Linked DNA regions of Oreochromis niloticus. The protein of the gene in region 2 interacts with the protein of the main gene of each other region in a biochemical or structural test. Links are inferred from orthologs where the notes say so. Each region holds a gene or a part of one and is shown on either strand. Other genes may lie near its edges. The genes, in order: bmp7b, acvr2ab and erbin.

Region 1 (7,697 bases), on a different chromosome or scaffold from region 2:
GTCTCTGCATATACTCAAACAAGCTGACAACAAAGTGTATCAGCTCCGTTGAGTGGCAATCAGTAAGGAAGAGTGAGAGCTAGAACAATTCTTTTACATTCTATGGACTATTCTAGTAGCTCAGGGATCTTTGATTTTGATGGCAATTCTAAAATCAGATCCATTTTCCCATATTTGACCATAAATTTAAATGCAAACAGTGCATGAAAACAGGCCTCTCAGGAAGCAGCACCCAGGGTACAAAGTCTGACTAATGTACCTTGGCTCAGTAGCTATGGAGACATGCAGTTTTGAGGGACAATTTTTAAATAAAAGCTACACTCATTTTGCTCTCAGACAACCTAAATAAGAAAACAAAAACCACAACGAGCAAATGTGGAAAGGAAGGAATTTGGAGAGGAAATAGTCAATCCATTTGAAAGCCATCACTTTCTTCTCAGTGAATTCCCTCTCCCTCCCTCCCTTTCGTGTAAAGGGTAACGAAATTGCATATTATCTGCTGTTTTGAATAAAGCCACCAGGATGTCTATTTGATGGTATCACATGAGAGTACGGAACCAGCCTAACAATGGACCCTACTGATAGATCTAACACGTGGCAGATTAAATCATGAATGCGCTGTTTATATCCAAATGAGTGTCATTTGAGGGAAGACTAAATACGTGCTGTGAGGAAGACTCAACCTGAGCAGATGCCATTAGTGATTACATTAGCCACAAGATTTCAAGAGGGCAGTGTGACTTTGTTTTTGTTAACATAGGAAATAAAAAAGTTCTCCCTAGCTGATGTAAGCCATCTTGCAAAAGTTTTTTGCTAAAAAGACCTTTGCAAAATAGACAGAGGAACTTTATCACTCTGCCAAAGGCTCCCTGCTCCCTTCTTTCTCGCCATCTTAGTGCCGTCTTGGCCCTTGACTTTGCGAGGCCCTTGACTTGTGTCTTGAGTCTCTGTGGTCAGATCCATCTGTGTCACAGCCTGTCAAAAATAGTCACAATGCAGCAGCTCCCACAGTAATTACACAGTGCAGTGGAGGAGCCAGTGTCACCTCCCTCTCTCTTGCCAAGACACTCCAACAATGATCTTTCCAGGATTGAATGTAAATGTCTCACTGCTTGCAGAAAGTCAAGAAAAAAAAATGTATTGGCTTACAAAAACTGTAACCATCCGTATGCCTCCTACAGATTTGATTTATTTCTATGTCTGTCTGGTCCCAGATTGATATGTAAAAGCTACTCATCTGGAACATAAATGGAGCTGTTGCTGTGACTACATAATTTGTTAAGTAAATTGAATTATAATGATGCTTTTATCAATCCATAAATCTGATACCACATGCTAATGTTTTGACTATTTACACTTAACAACCTCTGACTGTTGCTGGCAGCAATAAAAAATCCAGGAGTGTTCGATTTCAATAAACATATTTGATTAGATAAGCACATTGGGCCAGGAAACAACATTCAACAAAGCAATTTAATTGATGTGAAGTATGTCCTATGCCACTGATATTTATTTTGTGAACAACTGAATCTAATTAAATCACACTGTGACTAAACTAACATCACTGGCTGGCATTATTTGTGATGTGAGGGATGTCTCCAGATTAGAGTTAAGGGAGGACCCAGTGCACTTTGAACTCATTCTGCTGTTGACTTACTCATTCTTTAGATAACACATGGCTGACAAGTTAGCTGCTGTCTGGTCCATCATCCACAGAACAGCACCTGAACATTAGCTGGTTGCACAGCTGTTTAACAGAGAAGGACACTGGAATGTGCCACTCCTGGTATTAGCTAGATAACTGCAGTATGTAAACGTCGTTATTGTGCTGGTCTCCTTTGTGTGGACACAGGTGTACCATCAGAAAAATACTTGTGCTGTTTCTTTACGTGAAGCACTGTGAGAATATAAAATACCACCACAGTCATTCTGCTCTTCCACCTTTGACACTTACATATCATATGACTAAAAGCCTGATTTGTCCCAAAAACAATGTGTAAGATGTATCAAGCAGAGTGCAATATTAAAAGTACTAAATCTCCTTGTTAAAAAAAAAAAGAACCCCGACGCGAATTAACATATGAAACTTCTCAACACTTATAATCGTCAAGCCAAAGATATCTGTCCTTAAAAAAGCTTTTTTTTCAAAGTCCTTGCTATGTGTTTGATAATTAATAGATAAAGACAGTCATAATAGTACTACATTTTATTAATCAAATAAAAGACCTGGGTTATTATGACGCGCATAACAACGATTACATTGATAATATTTCAACGTGTTTATTATTCTCTACGGTCTTGTTTTTCTGGGAGGGGATTTATATAAAACTGAATTTGATGGGAGACTTAAGAAAATAAAGTGCCTACCTAAATTCACAAAGCTCATGACCATGTCTGCATCGTTTAAGAAGTTGTTGTCTTGCAGGCTGGCTATCGGTGGACCCTGTGTGGTGAAGACGGGTTTGTAAGGGTAGGAGTATCTGTCCTCGTCTCCGTCTGTAGACATGGCGTTGTACAAGTCCAGCATGAACATCGGGGCAGCATTGTGTTTTCCATGGAGGTGGGGTCGCGGCCGGTGCGGCAGTCCCAAGATCGACAGGATCTCCCGCTGCATCTCTCTGCGCTCCTGGCTCTTCAGCCGACGGTGGATGAAACTGGAGTGAAACTCGTTGTCCAACGTAAAGTTCGTAAAGGCAGTGTTTGCCAGGACGCAGTAGCTCCAAACCAAGAGCAAAACGGGAGCACGCTTATCCAAAATCTGTGCCATAATGCTCGCAGTGCGTAATTGCGCCCAATTCGGATCACCGAAACTCTAAAAAAAAAAAAAAATGGTTAGTAAACTTTTAGCAGCAGGCACTCTGTGTTTAATATCCAAAATCAGTTACGGTCCCTCATGTTGAGGGAAGTGCTGCCGAGTGAAACATCAACTTCACTTCAAAGTCCTTTTATTGACTGCTTTCCTGGACGCGTGGACCTCGGTCCTCATGCGCAACCTGTGGTCAAGCTCTACCAGCTGTAGTGCAGCCTGCAACTGCAGAGAGGAGGCTGCAAGCAGACAGGTTTCACTAGGAGAGACGAGAACAAGTTTTGAGGAGGCGCTGTTTGCAAAGAGGAGTAGAGGGAGAGAGAGAGAGAGAGAGAGAGAGAGAGAATGTTGTGGTTGCCTTATTGAGCAGAGCTAGCCTGGCTTTGTTGCCAGTAGGAGAACGCCTTGAGGCTACATGTGCAAATAAGAAAAGGATTAGGACTGGATTTGTATTATGACGCTTCAGTTTATTATACACCACATTTCGTCAATGCTTTCCACATTTCCTAGTACCTGTAGGCTCGTGATAATTCACTAATGACTGATGTTAAGACAGCCACAACAGACCGTTCATGGTGAGTGTACATATGGAAGGCTGATTTCATATCAGAGAGTTCTTATTTGACTTTGCAAGTGAATACTTCAGTACTGTAGGAGAGGTCGCAACATGTAGTTGCAGTCCTGCCATTACAATAGTTAATTGGCTGATCCGCAGGTGCACTCTCTGAATGCCTTGGGTCATGTGGCTCTGAGACTCTAAAGCCTGTTATCTTTTGATGTCAAAGAGGCTGTACTGCAGCCCCACAACTGCCATTTCACGCTGCATTTCTGAAGATATCCTAGTTTTCCATCCCCAGAGCTAGAGCAGGAAGTTTGTGACAAAAGCAGCAGTGCACAGGGCTCAGACTGCAAAGGAGGGGTGCAGATGTTCGGCAGCTGCTTCATTCCTCCATCTGCCCCCCTGGCACCAGCACCTCTTAAACACCACACTTTAATAGAACGCTCCTGACCCTCATGTGCGCTTTGCTCTCACTGACACAGGCGGAGGGACTTCAGATGGCCCGAGAATGACTGCTTTATCTAGAGAGTACTCACTGCACAGAGAGGGGAGTTTCAAAGGGTCTTCAGGCTACAGCTTGCCAGGTGATTTTTATGACAATAAAATTAGACTTCAATGGCACAGCAAGAGAGGCTGCCAGACAGCTTAAGCTATGATTGCAAACAGAGGAAAGGGAGGAAAGGAGGTAGAGCATGTCTTGGGGTCTTAGCTCACCTTCCTGCCCATTTAATGTGGTTGTTCTTGTCTTCAAAGGCGTTCCACTCCTCTTTTTTCCAATGACAATTCAACATGGCTTAAAGCATTAAAGCTTACATAGCCTGCCACTACTCATTTTGTATATCTAATACTCTATTTGCTTTTAACTCGCCTTTCAGTAGTATGTAACATATAAACATTTCTATCCGGTGCCTCAGATAGAATCAGCTAATGGCTGCAGGTGTTTACATAACAGCAGTTTCCGACAGAGGACTTGAAAGGTCCTGGGTTATAGCTATACATCTTCCTCTGTTTCTCACTTTCTTTTGACTTTCTCATTGTTTCATTCTCATGCCCTTTCTGTAAGTCTGGTGAGGTCAGATGCCCCCAGTGCTCTTCAAACAGCCCCCAGCCCTCAGTTCAGTTTGTGCCCAGAGAAGGGCTGACAATCCTGGACGGGACAATAAGAACAGACCCCCCTTTGTTTCGGCCTCCATGAGTCTGGTGACAGTCCCAGTAAACACTGGGCACAGGCAGAGGCCAGGCAGGGTAAGCTGCACTAAGGGGCCTTTGACAAGGGGGACTAGTAGAAAAGTAGAACAAACAGTGTTTGAATATCCTGTCAGTAATGCACACACACATACACACACACATACAAACTTCCAAAAGAATAGCCACAACTTGTCTCAAGTGTGTCCCACTAAATTGAATATTTTGGCTAAAATACACAAGCCAGACAAATTGTGAGACACTCTGTTTGGGCCTGTAAAAGAAAATGTTAAAAAATAAATGAATAAAATAAAACATACACGGAACATTTCTGCTTAGCTGCTGAAAAAAGTAGACACGTAGACATGCAGTGTACCTGAGTAAGTCTTTTCAGGAAGAAAACTCTGCTGAGTTGAACAGCTGTGCAGCCATGATGACAAGGGCTATTCTATTAGAGCTCATAATGGTAAACTCAAAAGGTCTTTTCTTTTAAAACCCAGCATTTGGCCTGGAGCATTTTGACTGCACACACACATGCGCTCTTTCCACTATGATCTTAGGGGATCTGAGCAAATAAACACCTCCCCACTACACTCCAACAGGTTGGAGCATGATGCAAAGCTCCAAAGAAGACCACACAGCGGTGCAGCGTAATATACCTGGAAATGCTTTCGCACCCAGGTAACACTTCAAAATATTTTGCTTCTTTCTTTTTACTTCTTTTTAGCTATGACAAGAGTTGATGCTCTTTCTGTTTAACTCTGCTTAGGAGCTCAAAGCATGCGGTCAGAGGTCAGATTAATATTTATTTCATGTGTTGCCTCAGAGAGCAGCAGGCAGTAGTCCTTTGAAGACCTGTGCATGCAGGGAGGCGGATGAGGTTTGGTGGAAGAGGGGCGGGGCGGGGTCTGACCAAGTAGACCAACAGACGATACAGTAAAACTTTTTTTCAAGGTAAACTGACCTTCAAATAAAGAAGTGTAGGGCCGGGGTGCCAGGACACAAGACGGCGGAGGCACATTTTTTGCTCATGCCCCCTCCCTCGTCTGCTGGTCCTGTCCTCCTTCGTCTATGTTTTTGGCGTAACCCCACTGTGTGCGCTGCACAAACCGACGGCCTGTTAAAACAGCCTAACCAGGTGGAGCAGAGCTATTGCAAATGTTCCCCTTCTGGTGTCTCACACTTCCAGGGGCCTCATGAACATATGAGACACAGCTGTGAGACAGGCAGAAGAAAAGAGGGGGGTGGGTATATGAAACAGCTTCAAACTAGTTCACATTGTAAAGCTCAACAACCAAAGAACCAAAACTCAATGTTTAACAACTAAACGTAATGTTTTGCCAGGTACAATAATCATGAAAAAGGGCGGCGATAAAAATTCAAGAGGACTTTTATTAGACTTGAGCAATAACAAATAGGTTACATATAATTTGGAACTGGCAATTGCAACCCAACCCTTATGTCGTTCTTTAATTTAATTTGGTATATATGAGCTTCATGACACTGTGACACGTCCAAATGATCTGCAGATATTTTCGAATGAGGAATATGTGATTATCTTATTTGAAATAGTGCACCTTGCAGCTCTCCTCTCCATCACTCACTGCTTTCTTTCAACCTGGTATGTCCTGCCACCCCATGTTTGTCTGCAAGCTGATATCACACTTGGGATCACCAGAGCAGCTTGAACCTGATTTATAGCTCTCAGCAGTCCAGCCAGACCCATCAGTTATAGTTGGTGTTGCTGACAATCAGAGATACCGTTTTAGTTAAGCCTTCTATAACGCCCAGCTTAGTAGAGCTTATCCTTTATAGGATGTTATCACTCAGGCGCCCTGTCACTTGTGTCATCAGCACAGAGTCCAGGCTTGACACTGGTTTCCTCACCCAGCCACACACTTATCGGCATCCATTACTGAGGTGTGTGGGCCTGATAAATGTCCACCCAGTTTCAGCAACTCTCGACAGAGGTCCCATTAAGATTCCTGTCTGTGTAGCGAGAGGCCTTGCCCCTTTGACTCTTGCTTTCATCACTCCATAAGGCTATGTTGGTCTGTCAATCAGAGAGGACCCTGGGTGATCAGTCAGCCCCTCTTTAGGGGATGCTGGTCTGAGGAGCCATTAGAGAGCAGGCAGCACAGACTGGCCAAAAACTGATGAGAAACAGAGGAGCAGCAGAGCCTGAGGTAGTAAGTGGAGGGGAGGTGGGAGGGTTGGCGTGTAGTGGGGGGTAGAAGAGCAAGAGGTGGATGAGCTGAATGTGGATTGTGAAGGGAGGGTGGTTCTGTTTTCTATTTGTGAGGATTAGGTTGACAGATCTGTATTTAGTTTCTTTGGGCCTCTAGCTGCAGCTAATCCCCCTCACCTGCAGCGGGTGCCCCCCCTTTCTTTCCTCTGACCCTGCAGCCCCTTACTTCCCCCATGTTCCCCCTCCTGCCCAGCACAAACACTCATCCCGAGACAAGCACATGACTCGTTGCACTCTGTCTCCTCAGGTTAGGGCCTCACACTCGACACAAATCTCTCTTGGGCCAAAGGAACAGCAGGGGTCTCGGGCTTTCTGGAACAGAAGAAAAAGGACCCCGGCAACCTGTGGTCTTCCACATATTAACATTTTTTCAGCTTGGGTGAGGGGTTGTTCCTCATCACTAAGAGATAGCAATTACTCAGAAATTAAGAGACATTACTACGGAAGCAGCTTGTCAAAGTCACTCAGGGGAAAGAGGGACCATTGGTAAAGCTGCACATTAGAAAATATTCAGGGTCAGGTCAGGGGCACGGACCTCTTCTCTTTAGATCCTGGCTCCCACACGCTCTGAGCAGGCCTTCACACTGTGGAAAAAAAAGACCACAGCGCCTCTCCAAACACACGCAGCATGCCTGCCAGCAATTCTGAAAGGTGGGGACTCTTGATGACCTAATAGTTGTAAAATCCAAGCACATTTTTCTGCTTTAATGAAGCGACATGACTGCAGCACAATGCAACCAAGAGACAGAAACAGGTTCTGAAAGGTTGTTTATGAAGTAAAATGTGCAATTTCCTCAGGGTGTCGTATTTATTTAATGTCTTTTTAATGTTTGTAGCTTAAAACAGCTGTAATTAGGCAATAACTGTCTGATATAGTAAACTGAGCTCCTAACAAAAGA
Region 2 (7,559 bases):
TAGATACTTTACTACCTTTGACCACATCCAACGCCTTTACAGTGACTTATTTATTAATAACTGGTACTTATTTCATGTTTTGTTGCAAATTATAAAACTAAAATAACAATAATTTACTTTTTTTATTATCAGCACAATGATAATAGCATGTATAAGCCTAATATGTATGAAACATTGAGTCCTACCTATGTTTACACAAATTACTCAAATTAAAAACAGTCTCCTTTTATAATAACTAAGACAGACAGCACCGGTAAAATTTTTAACATACTAAAAGTTTTATTTTTTTAAATAAAGTCCATGTCAGACTAATGATACGAAGCCAGAAGCCAACAGCATTGGGAGAGAGTTCATGCTTTTTAAATATTTGAATCCACAGCTAGAGAGATTTAGGACTAGCCATTTATGTGTGTATTTCCACCAGTATTGAGGTTTAGGAAAATTAAGAGAAGGTGTCCAGGCAAAAGATAAATGTTGGAGATGGATCAAAAAGGAGTGTGGAGCTGGAGTTTCGTGACCCCTCTTAGCATTTTAATTGAGCATTATCTGTGGCATACCACAAGGTTCGATTTTAGGTCCTGTTATAGGTCCTATTTATTTGCTTTCCCTAGGATAAATAGATTTGAAATAGATACCTTATGATCCCTAAAACACACACTTCTCTTTAATTAAATGCCTCAAAAAAAAAAAAAAAAAAAAGTCATACATCATGTTCTTCCCTAATCTAAAAATCATACAAACCACTCTGAAGGTGTCCTAGAACCCTAAAGTCAGCAGTCAGAAACGTACTCAGCTCTAACCTTTGAACCAGAAAAGTTTCCTTTCCTGCTTCTTCCAAATAACATCTACTATTAAAATTAAACAAAATATTAGCTGGAAAAGGTTCATTCTTGTGCTTTTTCCAGGCTAAATTACTGCAAATGAAACACCACTCTCTCACCTCCAAACAGTTCAAAACGGAGCAGCGAAGCTTCTTACTGGTACAGACGGCATCACATCATCCCAATCCTTTGACTCCCAGTACATTTTAGATTTTCCTACTCATGCTTAAGGCCAAGTAGCAGAAATTCTGACCCCTTATATAACCTACTTCACATTGTTAGAAAGCGCCCCACCTGAGGAAGTGGAGGTGCTTCTCCCATCAGGAGCCCTTGGCTTTCTAAAACCTGCCTGAGCAGATAAGGCTCGTAAAATCTGTGACTTCCTGTAAAAACACATTTTTGTAACCTTGCTTTTAGTCATGTGATTTTTCCGTCTTTTTACCCTTTAATCATCTATTACGTTATATAATTGCTTGTCTGTCTCCTCTTTTATATTTGTTGCAAACTATATTATTCTCATTCTATTAAAAAAATAAATAAAATTCAGTGGCTTTTGTCCTATCAAACCAAACCCAAAAGGTAGATTTAAAATGACAAACTTCAAGGACTTCTCTTCCTAAAGAACAATTGCTCTCGGAACACTCTGGCAAGTAAAAAAGTAAAGTGTGAAGCATTTCTCCCAGTCGCCCACATAAACAGCATGCCCTGCACTCCCGAGATGACCTCTCTTTCCTTTATTATCACCACACTGACATTCATTAAACATCCACCCCGGGGAAATAAGTACATATAATGGACATCTACCAACACAGAGTGCTGAAAATGGCTTTTAGCATGTAGATGTAGAAAGAAGCCACATGCATCCAGTTTGGCCAACGCGATTAAACATCAATGCCTATTTTCCCCTTAAAAAATGGTGACTGATTACCTTTTATTTGCACTTCATCAACACAAATCCCTGGCTGCTCCCTCATTAACTTCATGAAAAAAACTCCAATTTGTACCCGTGTGTCCCACAGGAAGCCACTCAAGGGCCCTTTGAGCCCCCCCCCCCCTTCAATCTTGGGGCTCACCTGTAGTTTGCATGCACGCCAATGATGCCCAAAAAGAGGTTACACTCCTTACACATAACAGCAAGCTATGCACTGCACGGCTGACCGTACGCAACATACATTGCCCCCCACCTCCACACCCACCTGAAGAGCAGGAGATGAGGAAAACGGCGAAGGCCAATTTGGTGGCGTCTCCCATTTTCCATCCGAATTGGATCCTCTTGACTAGAAAGAGAATTTTACAAAAGCACAAAAAGCTCCAGAATTTAAAAAAAAAAAAATCTCAAAACGATTGAGTCAAATTAAATGTCTTGTTGTCTCTGGAAATATTGCATCTTAAAAAAAAAAAAGTCAAGCTCGAGTCTACATCCAAAATATCCCAGGTAATGCAAGCCTCACTAGTCCAAAAAAAGAAGACGGGAGGAGGATGATGAAGAAGAGGAGGAGGAGGAGGAGGAGGGGATGGTCGCTGGTATTTCCAGGTTTATACACAAGCAATGCAGGGTGAACTGATGGCACTGGAGCCGGGGTTATCGTGTACTTGCCAGGTCTGCAGCAGTAGCATTGTTCACCTGTGCCCGGTGGTGCTATTTTTCAGAAGAACGGTGCACGGACCCGAGCCACAGCCGGGCAGGGCTAACATCCATCGGACTGCAAATCAAACGCACTCCGCTCTCCAATCAAACTTCTCCTCGGTGAGCTCCGTCGCATAGCTCTCAAAATGTCCAAACTGCGTCGAAAGGGAGCATTTCCACTCTCCCGCTATTTGCAAAAAAGGATTTAAAAGCTTTATCTTAGGTGTTATATTCCGTGCAGAGATTTTAGGCTTCGTCCGACGGTCCGGCGGGGCTGCCCGGCCACAACCACGGCTCCGTCCGCTCCAGCAGGGAAACAACCGATTACCAGACTGCCTTTGCCCCCCTCCCGCTGCGACAGCCCTCTCCAAAGTGGGCCAAACAACCGTTCCCGGTCCAAAAGATTCGAATGAACAAGTGGAAAGACTATCATATGATAGCACTAGCCGCTGAAGCTGCCGTTAATCCGCGTAGCTGTCGAGTTTAGGACGAGCTGATTTTCCCAAGTCCGTCTCCTCCTCGCCTCCTCTGCTCGGGACGATTTCAAGATGGCGTCACTGGCACCCTGTTAGGCTTACCCAGCTCATACAACGAGCTTCCGGCGAGGGTTTTCAAAATAAAAACCACAGCGTTTACGCTTGTAAACGAACGGCTGTAAAGAGAAATTTTAGTTCACTGATATAAAAAATAAAACTACGCAACCGAAGCAAAAAACGTATGATTTTCTTTTTAGATAGATGTTTAGATGTCTTTTTAAAATCAATTTTATACATTTTATAAAAAGCCCAGAGAGGCTTTGGCGCAAACATTTATTTAAATCCTGAGTAAGTGACTGTTTCCATTATTATTTATAAAATCTGCCCCCAAAATTAACAGACTTCTCAAAATGTTTGAAAATGATTTGATTTAAGATTTTTATTTAAGATTTTATTTTTGTGTTTCAACACAGTCTGAACTGTCTTAGGCAGCTTTCTTGTCATTTCTTGAAGTAGTCTTCAGGAATAGTTTTCCAGGCTTTATGAAAACCATTCAAAGCTCTTCTTTGGATGTTGGCTGCCCTTTGTTCTGTTTTCTGTCAAGGAGCTACGTTTGCCTGCTCCCTTATTCACAAGGAGTTGCCACAGCAGGTAGCTCCACGTCTTTGAGTTGGCAGATTTTGACTCTGGATGCCATTTGTGAGATTACTGTCTCTTCCCTCAAATGAACCAGAGATATTTAGCATGTTTGGCGAATTTGTAAACCACTGCACTATGAAGACTCTATCAAGATGATCCCACATTGCTTCAATAATGTTGAGGTCCAGAGTACATTGTTATTAATGGACTTTGTATGAATAAGAAAAAAAAATTTTTTTTTAAAAACCCCACATAAAATCACATAAACAAATGTATTTTAGTATTTTGAATGTTTTTGACATGTTATTGGAGGGAGGGGGGGGGTCTTACCCTAATTCTGAAAGAACTGCTAGTCAACTTCCGGTGCCAATCTGGCTAACTTTATCCAGCTTGATCGATCTGCTTTATGAGCTAGGGATTGTTTTTGTCCGGGAAGGCTGTTAGCTTTGCTTTCCAGTGCGTGCCGTAGAATGAAAAGAGGGGCGGTCACATTTCTTTAAACATCCTTTCAAAGTAAGAATTGCCCAATTTGTTACACATTTATAAGTCTTTACAATAACTTGCATTAATTTTAATTTTGTGCATGCTATATTGCATATCATTAGTCAACGTGTACTTATTTTATACACCTTATGTTAAAAGAAAAACTATTTATACTACAGCCATCTACAGTGGTGTTGTTGAGGTTTAAACTACATAAAAAATGTCCTTTTTCTAATCAACAGTATGTTCATTATACAGCTCAGCACTTCATATAGGTCAACACATGCCGCACATAGGCTACATATAGCCTCACTTTCCAGTATGTGCTACTATACCTACATATATCAGGTTTCAGCATGGGTTGGGTGTTCAGTAATAAATGCTGAGAATACCATGAAGTACAGATATAGGCTTGGCCCATCCCCAGATCTGTGTGACACTAATCTCTCTAATAGCCTGGAGCAGATCTCCAACCATAAGCGCTGCTAAACGATTAGGAGGTCAAAGGTCTCGGGGGATTTCTCTGCCAAGCTGGAAGCTGAGTCACCTGTTCTATATTGGAGTGTTGGCTTTCATCTTCAGCAAAACACGGGGTCCTGTACATAGCTTAATGGCTGGGGCTCAAGGCACTGACAAAGCCCGGGTGAGGAGTTTAGTTCTTGTCAATGTTATTCCCCTAGCAGCGTTTTCAAACTTTCATCACAAATGAAATCTCTCCGGAAAGAGCGAAAGCAGCCCCAACAGGATGTTCATCATTTCAAAGATATTAGAAACATGAATCAAAAGGCTTGTTTCTGAGTATGTGTCAGCACGCTGTGAGCATAGCTGTGGTCACCAAGTCACCACATAATCAGATTGTCACACTCCTTTCTTGCGTCACGTACAATTAACTAATTCACTTACAGAAGTTTAGGATGAGCTGCTGTAACAATAGCTTCATGATCAGCCTATACCACACCTACAGGATTCATTCATCCATGGGTTGTGTTGTTGCTAATTGATGAGGCATTTTGAAGCAAATTCTTTAGCATGTGCTGTAAGCTGATAACTGAGAACCCTGTTGTAAATCACCAGTATTGTGAAATAAATCACCCCGAGATGAATAAGTGGTAAGAAAATAGATCGGGAGCTAATAGAAAAGTTCCAGTTTGCAGGCAACATCTCAGCTGAGATGTAAGATCATGTGACTGAAATGAGTTTCACAATCTATGAGCCTATGGGTTGATTGATTTTGATGTCCAAGAAAATATGAAGATATTAAAGAAAACAGACACCCTGTGGAAAATGTAGAACGTAAGAATGTAGAATGTAAGTCTTTTGTCATTTCTTTAAGTCGTCTTCAGGGATTAGTCTTCAGCCCAAAACCATGACAGAGCCTCCACCGAGTTTTACAGACGACTGTAGACTCTTACTGTTGTACTTCTCTCCAGACCTTCTCCATATGTTTGAGACTGAGATTTGTTTTCTAGATGATGTCTTATATTTCTGTTATCTAAACTTGTCATGTATCTTTCCCCCTTTCTCAATGAAAGAGAAACCTTCCAAAAATTCCTGGAAAGTTTAAAACTTTACCATTTCTAAATTGGAAAAACGTCAATGTAAATTCACCCATAACATTTCCTATAAATCCTGGTAACTAAAATATGAACAAACAAAAATACAGAAAAAGCCTAGAGTCACATGACCCGTTTAAAATGGTTTCTAGAGCAAAATGTCACACATAACCTAACCTAAATGAACTTCAGTCTGACCTCCAGGGCTTGAATCCAAGTCCATCCAACTAACCTCTAAAAGGTGAACATGGATGCATCCATATTGAAGTTAAACCTTAAAGTAAAATAATTTATTTTTCATTAGTTTTTATTGGTTTAAAAGCCTTATTTTTCAATTCAGTTTGAAAATGTTTAATTTGCCTTATTTTGTATTGTGTCGGCCCTACGATTGACTGGCAGTCTGTTCGGGTGACCCTTTGTCCTTCTCTTGGCCATGGACAGTTGGGATAGGCGCCATTCTGGAAAATGATTACGGATGGATGAATTGGGTTGATTTAAGAACTTCACAACAGGGCAGTAATGCAATACAAGAAAACCAGTACTATTCCCTTAGAAATCACAGTATACAAGGAATATTTGTTGCCTTGTGTTTGACATTTGCTAATAAACACTAACATTAATTTAATTCTTGGGGGATTTTGAAGTCTGCTTCACATTGGTGTCCTGACAAATAATTCGACCTCTGTAAAGTTTCACTTTCTTGATTGAGTTCATGGAAATGTCTCTAACCAGTCGTCCAACTACATGATCTTATCGGCGTTAGTTCGTAAGTGAAGTGAAACAAACATTTTTCAAGTGTTTCTGAAATGACACATGGGACTGTTTCCACTTCAAAACTGACTTCAGATTTTTATCATCACCATTTTTAAGTTTCCTTTTCAGTCACTGGTTACTTTAAGTCACATTTGGTATTTGGCTAGAAAATATCACAATTTGGGTTAAAATACTGTCCTGCCAATGTATCCATTTGCATGATTTCCATGCAGACAGCGCATAGAGAGGAGTTTTCACCCACAGTGAATGTGCCTCTGTGTAGTCCTGAGTTCAGCAGGAAGGCGAGAAGCAAGAAAAAGCAAAAAAACAAAACAAAATATAAAACATCAAAAATACAGTGTGACCAGTACAGACTGTGGCTGCAGTGGACACCTTTCATCTTTTTAACACTTGTTTTCATTTGTATGTTACAAATTTGTTTTTTTCCATGGCTGGCTGATCAACCACCAACAGCACAAGTAAGAGTGGCCAGCAGACCGGTTGTACCACATACTTTGTACTCTGCGTCTGTTGACACTGTTTATTGAAATTCTCTGCAGGTAGACCACAGTGTATCAGTACCACTGGACCACCAACATGCTACCGCTGCTAGCCCATAATCTGAGCTTTAGTAGCAGGTACTGCTAAGTAATCATCAGCACAGCACAGCACAGTGAAACAGCTTTGGCTGTTTGCTGGTCTGGGGCATTCTGGTGTGTTAACATAATGCCACAATCTTCCCACCCAGGAGTAGTGGACGTCCCAGGAAATTCACCCCACGCTAAACTACATCTCAGACTCTACACGCCTCATTTAGCATGTTAAATGTTAAAGTTTGTGACAGCACAATTGGAAAGGGACTAAAGAAGGATGGTTTATTTGTAAGGGTTTCCAGGAGAAGGCCTCTTCTCTTTAATAAGAATGTGGCAGCACAGCTTAAGTTTGCAAAGTCGTATATGAACAAAGCACAAGACCTCTGGAACACTGAACTTTGGACAGATGAGACCAAAGTAGAGATGTTTGGCTATAACAAACAACATCATGCTACAGGACAAGGATCTCATGCACAGCAGGAAATCTTTAACAGAGTGGCTGTGTGGCAGGGTGCGGGCTGTGGCGCGGCTGAGGGGGAGGTGGACACACCTGAGTGGCATCAGTAATCACGCCTTGCCAGCTTAAAAGGATTAAACGGGGTCCTGACTGTGTT
Region 3 (7,739 bases), on a different chromosome or scaffold from region 2:
CAGTTAGTCACCGAACATGTGCTCTTTGGACTAGCACACTACATGTTACCTACTAACAACAAAGGTAGAAATAAGGATACGAGTCAGATCAAGGCTAGACATGCTGAAGAGGAAACGAGCACTTGTATGGTCACAGAAGCAGAAGATTAAGGAGGGGGGAGAAGGAAAAAAAAAAAAAAAAGGTTTCCTACGTGGTATAAAGCGTCATCAGAAAAGACACACCTTAAGATCCAGTGACAATGAAAAGCACCATGTTACGTACTTGTTTAACAGCCGACACCAGATGTAAACAGAAATAGATAAGCCTGTACAGCCACTTTTCCATCAGTAGATATACCGCTGACTCTGAGTTTAGCAGGATCACTCATTGTTTAAGAAAAACTTTTAACATGATATACCCATAAGTAAACCAGACTCTGTTAAGAACATGAAGTCAAACAGTTTAGAGCTGTTTCGAAAGGAAAAAAAAGATAGTTTTGAACCAGTGTACTTACTAAAGGATATCCAATTCAACATACATAGAGATATGGAAGAATTTCACAGCTAAACCGACATTGATTTGTGGATTAACACTTATGCCAACATGTCTGGTGTATAATAAAGATAAGAAACACAGTTTTACTGCTTTTGGCAGTGTCTTGTCTCCGACTGACACAACAAACTTTTAGGCAAGTGGAACAACACTTCTTTGCCACCTGTGCGAGAAAAGAACAGTAGAGGAAAGAGCCTTTGTTACAGTGAACCTTATCTTCAGTTCTAGATAAGGTCTGTTGTAAATGATCACATGAGGAACTTGATAACCAAAATGCCATGACAGGCCTTCAATACCTCAATGAAACCAGTGTACTGTAAGAATACGACACACACTTCTGTTAGTGATATACAAAATATCCATATACCAAATACACAGCTTTTCCCGATGAGTGGAAATGTGTCTACAAGAATACAAAATTAGTGTAAACAAACACCTTTGGGAAAACATCCAAAATTCGGGCAATTTTCTGCTTACACTATATATACACTTTTAGTCAGTTTCATTACCAATACCTGAATAATCTTCTCCAAATAGCTGAATATCAGCTTGTAGATAACGGGCCCATAACATTGACAAGCAGGGGAAGATCGAGCCTAGTCTTTGTTTACATTTTATTACAGCTGGGAGAGCCTTTGAAGACTGATCTGATAAGGTTTCTGTTTGCTTGACTGACAGCTCCAAATACCAAATTCAACGTTTGAGTTTTAAATCACCCTGGAAGACATTCATGTGAGATTGAAAAATTCAATTACAAAACACTGTGCCCAAAATGCACGTATCGTATTGAAAATGAACATGTAATTGTTCTGCAGTTGTGTATGTATTCGCACAGTTATGGTTGCAGTAGCCTTTGATACCTCCACGCACTTGAATTTTGAGTTTAAATATTACTTTTCATTAAATGACAATCTGTTATCATGACATCCATAGTTAGTATCTCAATCTACTACAAAATATTATCTCTGGCAACACTCCACCTGGTTCAGTACGTTTGTAAAGTTATGTTATGAAATCTAAGATAATCTACACAGATGCAGAAATATCTCCGATTCACCTCTTAACTGTACTTTATAGTCAATTAAGTTCCAGTAAGAAGTTGACACATTAGCGGATTTAATCTAGGTATCTTACTAACGACACTCGATCCCGGGCTTATTACTTGTCTACCTGAGCGTTGCCTTCAAGGTGCCCTGAGACTCAACCTGATTGCATCTCCTGACACCATTTCCCAGAGCGGTGAATGACGAACACTAACAACAAGTCGACAGGCAAGGACAGACCTGCTGAAATTCCTCAGAATAGTCCTGAATTTATCCCGGATCTTAACGGGATTAAATTACAGTGGAGTTAAGTGAGGACACTAATCTGATTAATGAAGCGGCGAGAAAATGAAAACGCCAATATGTTGATAAGTACGGCGCGCTAATCCGTCCTAGACGGTGTAGGCGCAACAAAAGATGCGAGTGTTGCTATTGCGGCGCAGTTATTAATGGCTGGTTTTAGGAATAGTATCAACACTTATAGACTGACAGCTTTAAATGTACTACACCGCTTTCTAAAGCGAATAAATTAGTGCCAAGTGAGCTACATCGCAAAGGGGCAACAGCATACACAGCTGCTGATGCGAAACCTTCCGAAAACACAGATGCTCAAGTCTGTTAATACAGTCCAAAACCTGTTGTTTTAAACCAACAATGCTCTCACAGCCATTACTAAACTACAAGCACCCAGATAATACATTATCGTATAATTCCACATTTAAAATCAACCGCATTAATGCGAGACTTCAAGTGGGACAACCTGAGAATGGGACCTCAGCGATACAACGCTACAGCTAGCGTTAGCATGCTGTGTGGGGCCCCGCAGACAGAAGCAGTAACTTGCGCAAACAAAGAGACTTACCTGAGTTACTGTCGGGTCAGCGTCTCATTTAATGATATCCAGCTTATGTGAAGGCTGATACTACCCAACAAACACCTTGAGAAGTGGGCATTAGCTGGTTTCACTGGTTTGCTTCACGACAGTTCAATTGGGTCTGGCTAGTGTTAGCAGCTAGCTAATATTGCCTTACTTAGAGAGCAACTCGAAGCTGGCCCAGTGCGTACATTCTCCTCAGCGAGCCGCCCTCAAGTTTAACGTTGTCCCTCTCAGTTGTTTTGAGACATAAAAATATTGCCTTGTGGCACAGCCAGACTAACCGACGACGAAGACAAGCGCAAAAATGGTCCTTAACTGATGCAAATTAATGACACAACATTAAAAAAAATCCAAAATGTCCACTACATTCAGCAAGGAAATACAAAAGGCAAAACTGCGAACCACCTCCGGCACAGCGAAACCTTTTCCTCTAAAGTGTGCCGCACCCAGATGTTTTCGCTCATAATTTCCAGGTCTTTGCTCATTTACAATAGACGCAGCTCTACTGACTGGAACGAAGCTACATTGAGGCTGTGGGGCACAGCACGAAGCGGCGAGTTTCTTCTCTGCGACCTCCGCGGGTACATGGAGAAAGCTGTCCACCAGTAGTCGCCTTTCCAGCCTCACCGAGCCCCGGGGACGACGCTTTCACTATCTCACCCAGACACTGCTAGTGATTCCGCTTATCTTCCTCTGTGCATTGACTTATTGACACTGTTTTCCCTTTCAAATAGGCTACACAGGATATTCACACAGACTGCAAATGCGTATACAAACCAGACCGACAAGGGATTTTATTAAACCCATTTACATATAACGTACAAAAAATAGGTGTTTGTACGGTTTGCAGCAGCCTTCATTACTCTTGTTATGTCGTGGCGCCCTCCAGCGAAGATTTTTGCATTTCACTGGAAATTTAAATTAAATAGAATAATATGGCCTTTTTTCTGGAGATTTAAAGATAGCTCAAAGATATATCCATTAAAATAGCCAAGTGCCTTTCAAGGGTAGAATTTTCCACATAATGTTTGACGGGTGTGCTCAACGTAAAAGGCTTGAACAGTCTAACGTCTAGTGTCAACCCTCTAAACGACTTAATGAAGTTGTCAGGCCACCAAGAGTAGGTAGCTGATAAATGTAATATAATGTGGCAGCAGAAAGAAGCAGTTGAAAACAGTTTTTTGACTATATTGTAAATCTAGTAAGGGTATGTTAGCGCCTATACTTGGATACCTGTAACTTAAGCCTGCTGTTACTATTTTTGTACCCTTGACATATCTGATCACTGCATGGAAGGAAATTCTGACATGTCACAGCAGAAGTGATGGCATAAGTAATGAAATTAATGACGAGAATGTATGTTTCGAAAAAGAACTATTGTGGAAACCATATTATTCATATTCTTTAATATAAAGAAATATCCATTCTTTATTGTACGAGTGTCAAACATAGGGCCCAGGGGCCAGAAACGGCGGCAAGGACTCCAATTTGGCCTGCTGGATGGCTTTGGAAAATGTGGAGGGCTTAAATTATGGACATGAGTTCTACAGCACCATGGTCATCCACACAACACCAAAGTAATTATGTAAAAGATAAACAAATAAATGACAGAAAAGTAGTTCCCATTTTTTCAGTAACTACTATAGAAATGTTTTTTTCAATTGGTTCATAGTAAGACAAAATAAAGAGAAACAGATCATTTTCTCTGAACTAACAAAAGCTTTCTGCTTTATAATTACAGGACAGTCCTGGCAATGAGCAACCAGAACCTTTTCTGTAATTTTATAAATTTCTTACAATTTAAACCCCCCAAAATTGTGCTTGTATTTAGTATGGCACAATTTTTTCATCATGTAGAAATAAAAATGAGACAAACTGTAGAAATAAAAATGAGACAAACTGTAGAAACTGCACTTCTTGTTCATATATGAAGATATCTGATGGATTTAATGTGTAGTTGAGCTTCACTGGTCTGGCCCACTTAAGATCAAATGAAGTTGTATGTGGCCCTCGAATTAAAATGAGTTTGACATCCCTGGTTTACTGTTTTAGTAACACCTCTGCCATGACGAATTAAAAAGGCTGTAAAACACATTGAACATGTCATGACGAGGCCCTGTCGTGATGTACTGGACATTTAAACAAAGGCAGACAGAACTCTAGTATGAAATCCTGAAGATAGTAATAATACCTTATTTCTCAACTGACATTTACCTGCATCCAGATATAATATAATAATGACAAAAACAGTTAAAGATCACATCAGATTACATTGATGCTTCTTGTGAGTTAACCAGTCCTTTGCATTGGAAAAAGGCATCCTGATACGGCGCACGTCCGAGGAAGGTTTTCACCATGTCCATCCCATCCACAGAGCCTCCAGCTTCCAGTATCACTCTTCTGTACTCTTTTCCAACCTGTGTTCAGGGCATAAATGCACATATAAAGACAGTTTCAAGAAAAATAAGACATCATTAGAGTGAAATGTTCAACCAGAAAACCAACCTTTGGATTCATAATGCCTTCCTTTTTAAAACGACTGAAGAAAATGTCCATGGAGTAGACTTCGCTCCATAGATAGCTATAGTACTGACCATCATATCCTCCAGCTAAGTGGCTAAAACTGGCTGTCATGTTGGTTCCTGCAGAGAGCAGATCTTTGTTACAAATCGCTAATACAAATTCCAAAAAAGAAAAACGATAGTGTCTGTGCGCTTCATACAAAACACTGAATACAAACTACTAATGCCCAGAGTGGACTGTTTATTATAAAATGTAAATCCGCATCACTGATAGAAATTCTAATGCAATAATTTCTCAAATATATTCTAAATAGCTGAAGCTAAAGCTGACCTGGTGTAGCAGGAATACCCAGGATGTCCTGGCAGTGCTTTGCAAACACCTCAGCAGTGTCTGCACGTGGGCTGGTGTGAAGCGACTGGTCCACCTTACTAAGGACTACCTGACGTAGGTTCATAAGCCCTGAAGTGAACACATCAACAGAGACTCTTCACTTACACATAAATGTAACAGACTTTTTTGTGCAAAGTTTAGGTGTCTGACCAGTGTTAGCAACTCTGGAGGCAATCAGTTTGTCGAGCAGCTCGTCTGGGATGGAGGTACCATCTTTGTAGTGACAGGACATTCTTCTCAGAGGCTCCTTTTCCCAAACCCAGTTCTCAAGCATTTGAGACGGCACCTCCACAAAGTCTGTCTCCACCATTGTTCCGCTGAATTCTGAAAAAGCAGTCTGACGCATACACAGAAAAACTAATTTTTATTCATAAGCACACAGTATATAAATATCAATAACTTCCTGACTGAACATAGCGACTGACCTTAGAGCAGATTTCGTGCATGACATGACCAAACTCATGAAAATAGGTCTCCACTTCATGGTGTTGGAGGAGAGAAGGACAACCTTTTCTAGGCTTGGTGAAATTGGCTACCATGGCCGCAACCGGCAGCCTGCGCTTTCCATCGGGGCCTCTGCAGCCAGGCTGGAGCCCAAAGCAACCTGCGTGGCCATATTTTCCCTCCCTGGTGAAATGTCACAGTCAGGCTGAAGTCTATCACACAGATCAAGAGCTCTAGTGAATGTTAGTGAGCTCACACTTCATAAAGACATCAAACACAGGATCTTATCTTGTCTCTGAAAAAAATGACACATAATCTACCTTGGATGCAGATCCAGGTAGAACTGACCAATCTCCTCCCCTGTTTCAGTGTCCCGGGCTGAGTACAGCTTGACATTTTCATGCCACACGTCAGCCTGTTCCACCTCTGTGAATATGAGACCCAGCAGCTCCTGGTAGATACCAAACAGCCCTTCTGTCACCACATCAAGAGGGAAATACTCGATTAGTTTGTCCTTGTCCACAGCAAACTTGCGCTGCTCCACTTGATTCATGTAGTAGGGTAAGTCCCAGGCATTAATCTTCTCATCAAACTGGTAGCCCTTCATCAGGCACTCCCTCTTCTTCAGCGCAAGAATGTATTTCCTCTCTTTGATTCCCACGGGCTTCAGCGTTTCATGGAACTTGTCTGTAAAGGCAGAAAAAGAAAAACTCCTTAGTCGGAATGTGAAGCATGCAATTTTTTTGAACCTTTTGCTGTCTACTTTCTTATCTTCTTTTTAAAGCCCAAATCAAACTAACTCCCTTTGCACACTCAAAAAAAGAATATGAAAGTTGAACGTTTTTGTAGAGGAAATCTGTTCTAAATCTGCAAATGCTGAATATTCAAAATTTGTTGTTTGCATTGAAAACTATTAGTGCGGTTCTGGGTTCCTGTGTGATATTTTTTGAGTTTTGGTTCCTGTTTTGATTCTATTTATGTCATTTCTTATGTTTCCTTTCTTCTTCTTTCTGTAGTATCCCACTGCTTCCTTGTCTTTGTCTCTCTGTTAGTTCTCTTGTCTTTCTAGTTTACACTTCCTGTTTTTACTGTGGGAAAAACTTTTCTTTGTGCCTCTTGTACTTTAACCTTTTGCTTTTGTTCTGATTCTATGATTTATTCTTACTGAGCATCTCTCTGTGCATGTATACAGTCTTGTCTTTTTCCTTTGTTGGACTTGAATTTCTGTGCTTCTTGTGCTCCTTTTGTGAGCTCTGGTTTATTTCACTTTTTGAGATTAAAGACATGCTTTTAGTTGTTCAACCTGATTACAGCCACTACTAATTATAAAAAGCTGATGTTGTGTAATTTGTCATTAGTAACTGATTACATTTCACCCTGCATGTTATGTGACTGCGTGTGGAGTTGCACACCCATTCATCTGTCCTATTGAGTTTCTTTTCCTACTTTAAGGCAGTTATCAGGAGGCGGGAGAGCTCATCTTAAATGACAGGGAATGTTTGCATGTGTATGTGTGTGGCAGCGAGGTCAGATGTCAAAGAGACCATACCCAGAAAGTCAGACACGTTGCTTGCATTTTTAGCCATGTTAATCTCCAGCACATACTCAGCATGGCTACCGTAACCAAGTAAGTGTGCAACCTTCGCCCGCAGCTGTATCAACTCTTCTAAGATTGCCGTGTTTACCTGGGGGAAAAAAACGAGAGACGCAGCTCAGTTAAATCATTTAATTAAGCTTATTAAAACAGGTTTCCAGCCTGAGTTGATTCTGTGACACATTTGGTAACCAGTAGTAATATGTGGTTTCACCAAGCAGGTTCTCTGGGCTGCAACTTCAGCCCTCTCAAGACATGGGATATGCAACATTGCTTGTTTCATTAATGTGCTAAAGTGACAGCAATTGCTGATTGTATCCTTGTATGTCATTTAGA

The links.
Region 1: the proteins of acvr2ab (region 2) and bmp7b are reported together in a solved structure, tested with the Homo sapiens proteins (2 studies listed by BioGRID, with this or other methods). The link is inferred for Oreochromis niloticus from reciprocal best matches to the Homo sapiens genes ACVR2A and BMP7.
Region 3: the proteins of acvr2ab (region 2) and erbin interact in a test that uses a peptide from one of them, tested with the Homo sapiens proteins (2 studies listed by BioGRID and IntAct). The link is inferred for Oreochromis niloticus from reciprocal best matches to the Homo sapiens genes ACVR2A and ERBIN.

Annotation. Positions count from the first base shown.
Region 1 is NC_031984.2:13,769,533-13,777,229, forward strand, and holds the start of bmp7b (bone morphogenetic protein 7b), read right to left. Parts: upstream 3,086-7,697; 5' UTR 2,768-3,085; coding exon 2,368-2,767; intron 1-2,367. UniProt on the Homo sapiens protein: Growth factor of the TGF-beta superfamily that plays important role in various biological processes, including embryogenesis, hematopoiesis, neurogenesis and skeletal morphogenesis.
Region 2 is NC_031986.2:18,296,050-18,303,608, forward strand, and holds the start of acvr2ab (activin receptor type-2A), read right to left. Parts: upstream 3,017-7,559; 5' UTR 2,073-3,016; coding exon 2,018-2,072; intron 1-2,017. UniProt on the Homo sapiens protein: On ligand binding, forms a receptor complex consisting of two type II and two type I transmembrane serine/threonine kinases.
Region 3 is NC_031972.2:13,430,015-13,437,753, forward strand, and holds the start of erbin (erbin), read right to left. Parts: upstream 3,102-7,739; 5' UTR 2,438-3,101; intron 1-2,437. Other genes in the region: nln (neurolysin, mitochondrial), read right to left, coding at 4,720-4,869, 4,958-5,094, 5,306-5,434, 5,516-5,702, 5,791-5,992, 6,130-6,496, 7,359-7,494. UniProt on the Homo sapiens protein: Acts as an adapter for the receptor ERBB2, in epithelia. By binding the unphosphorylated 'Tyr-1248' of receptor ERBB2, it may contribute to stabilize this unphosphorylated state.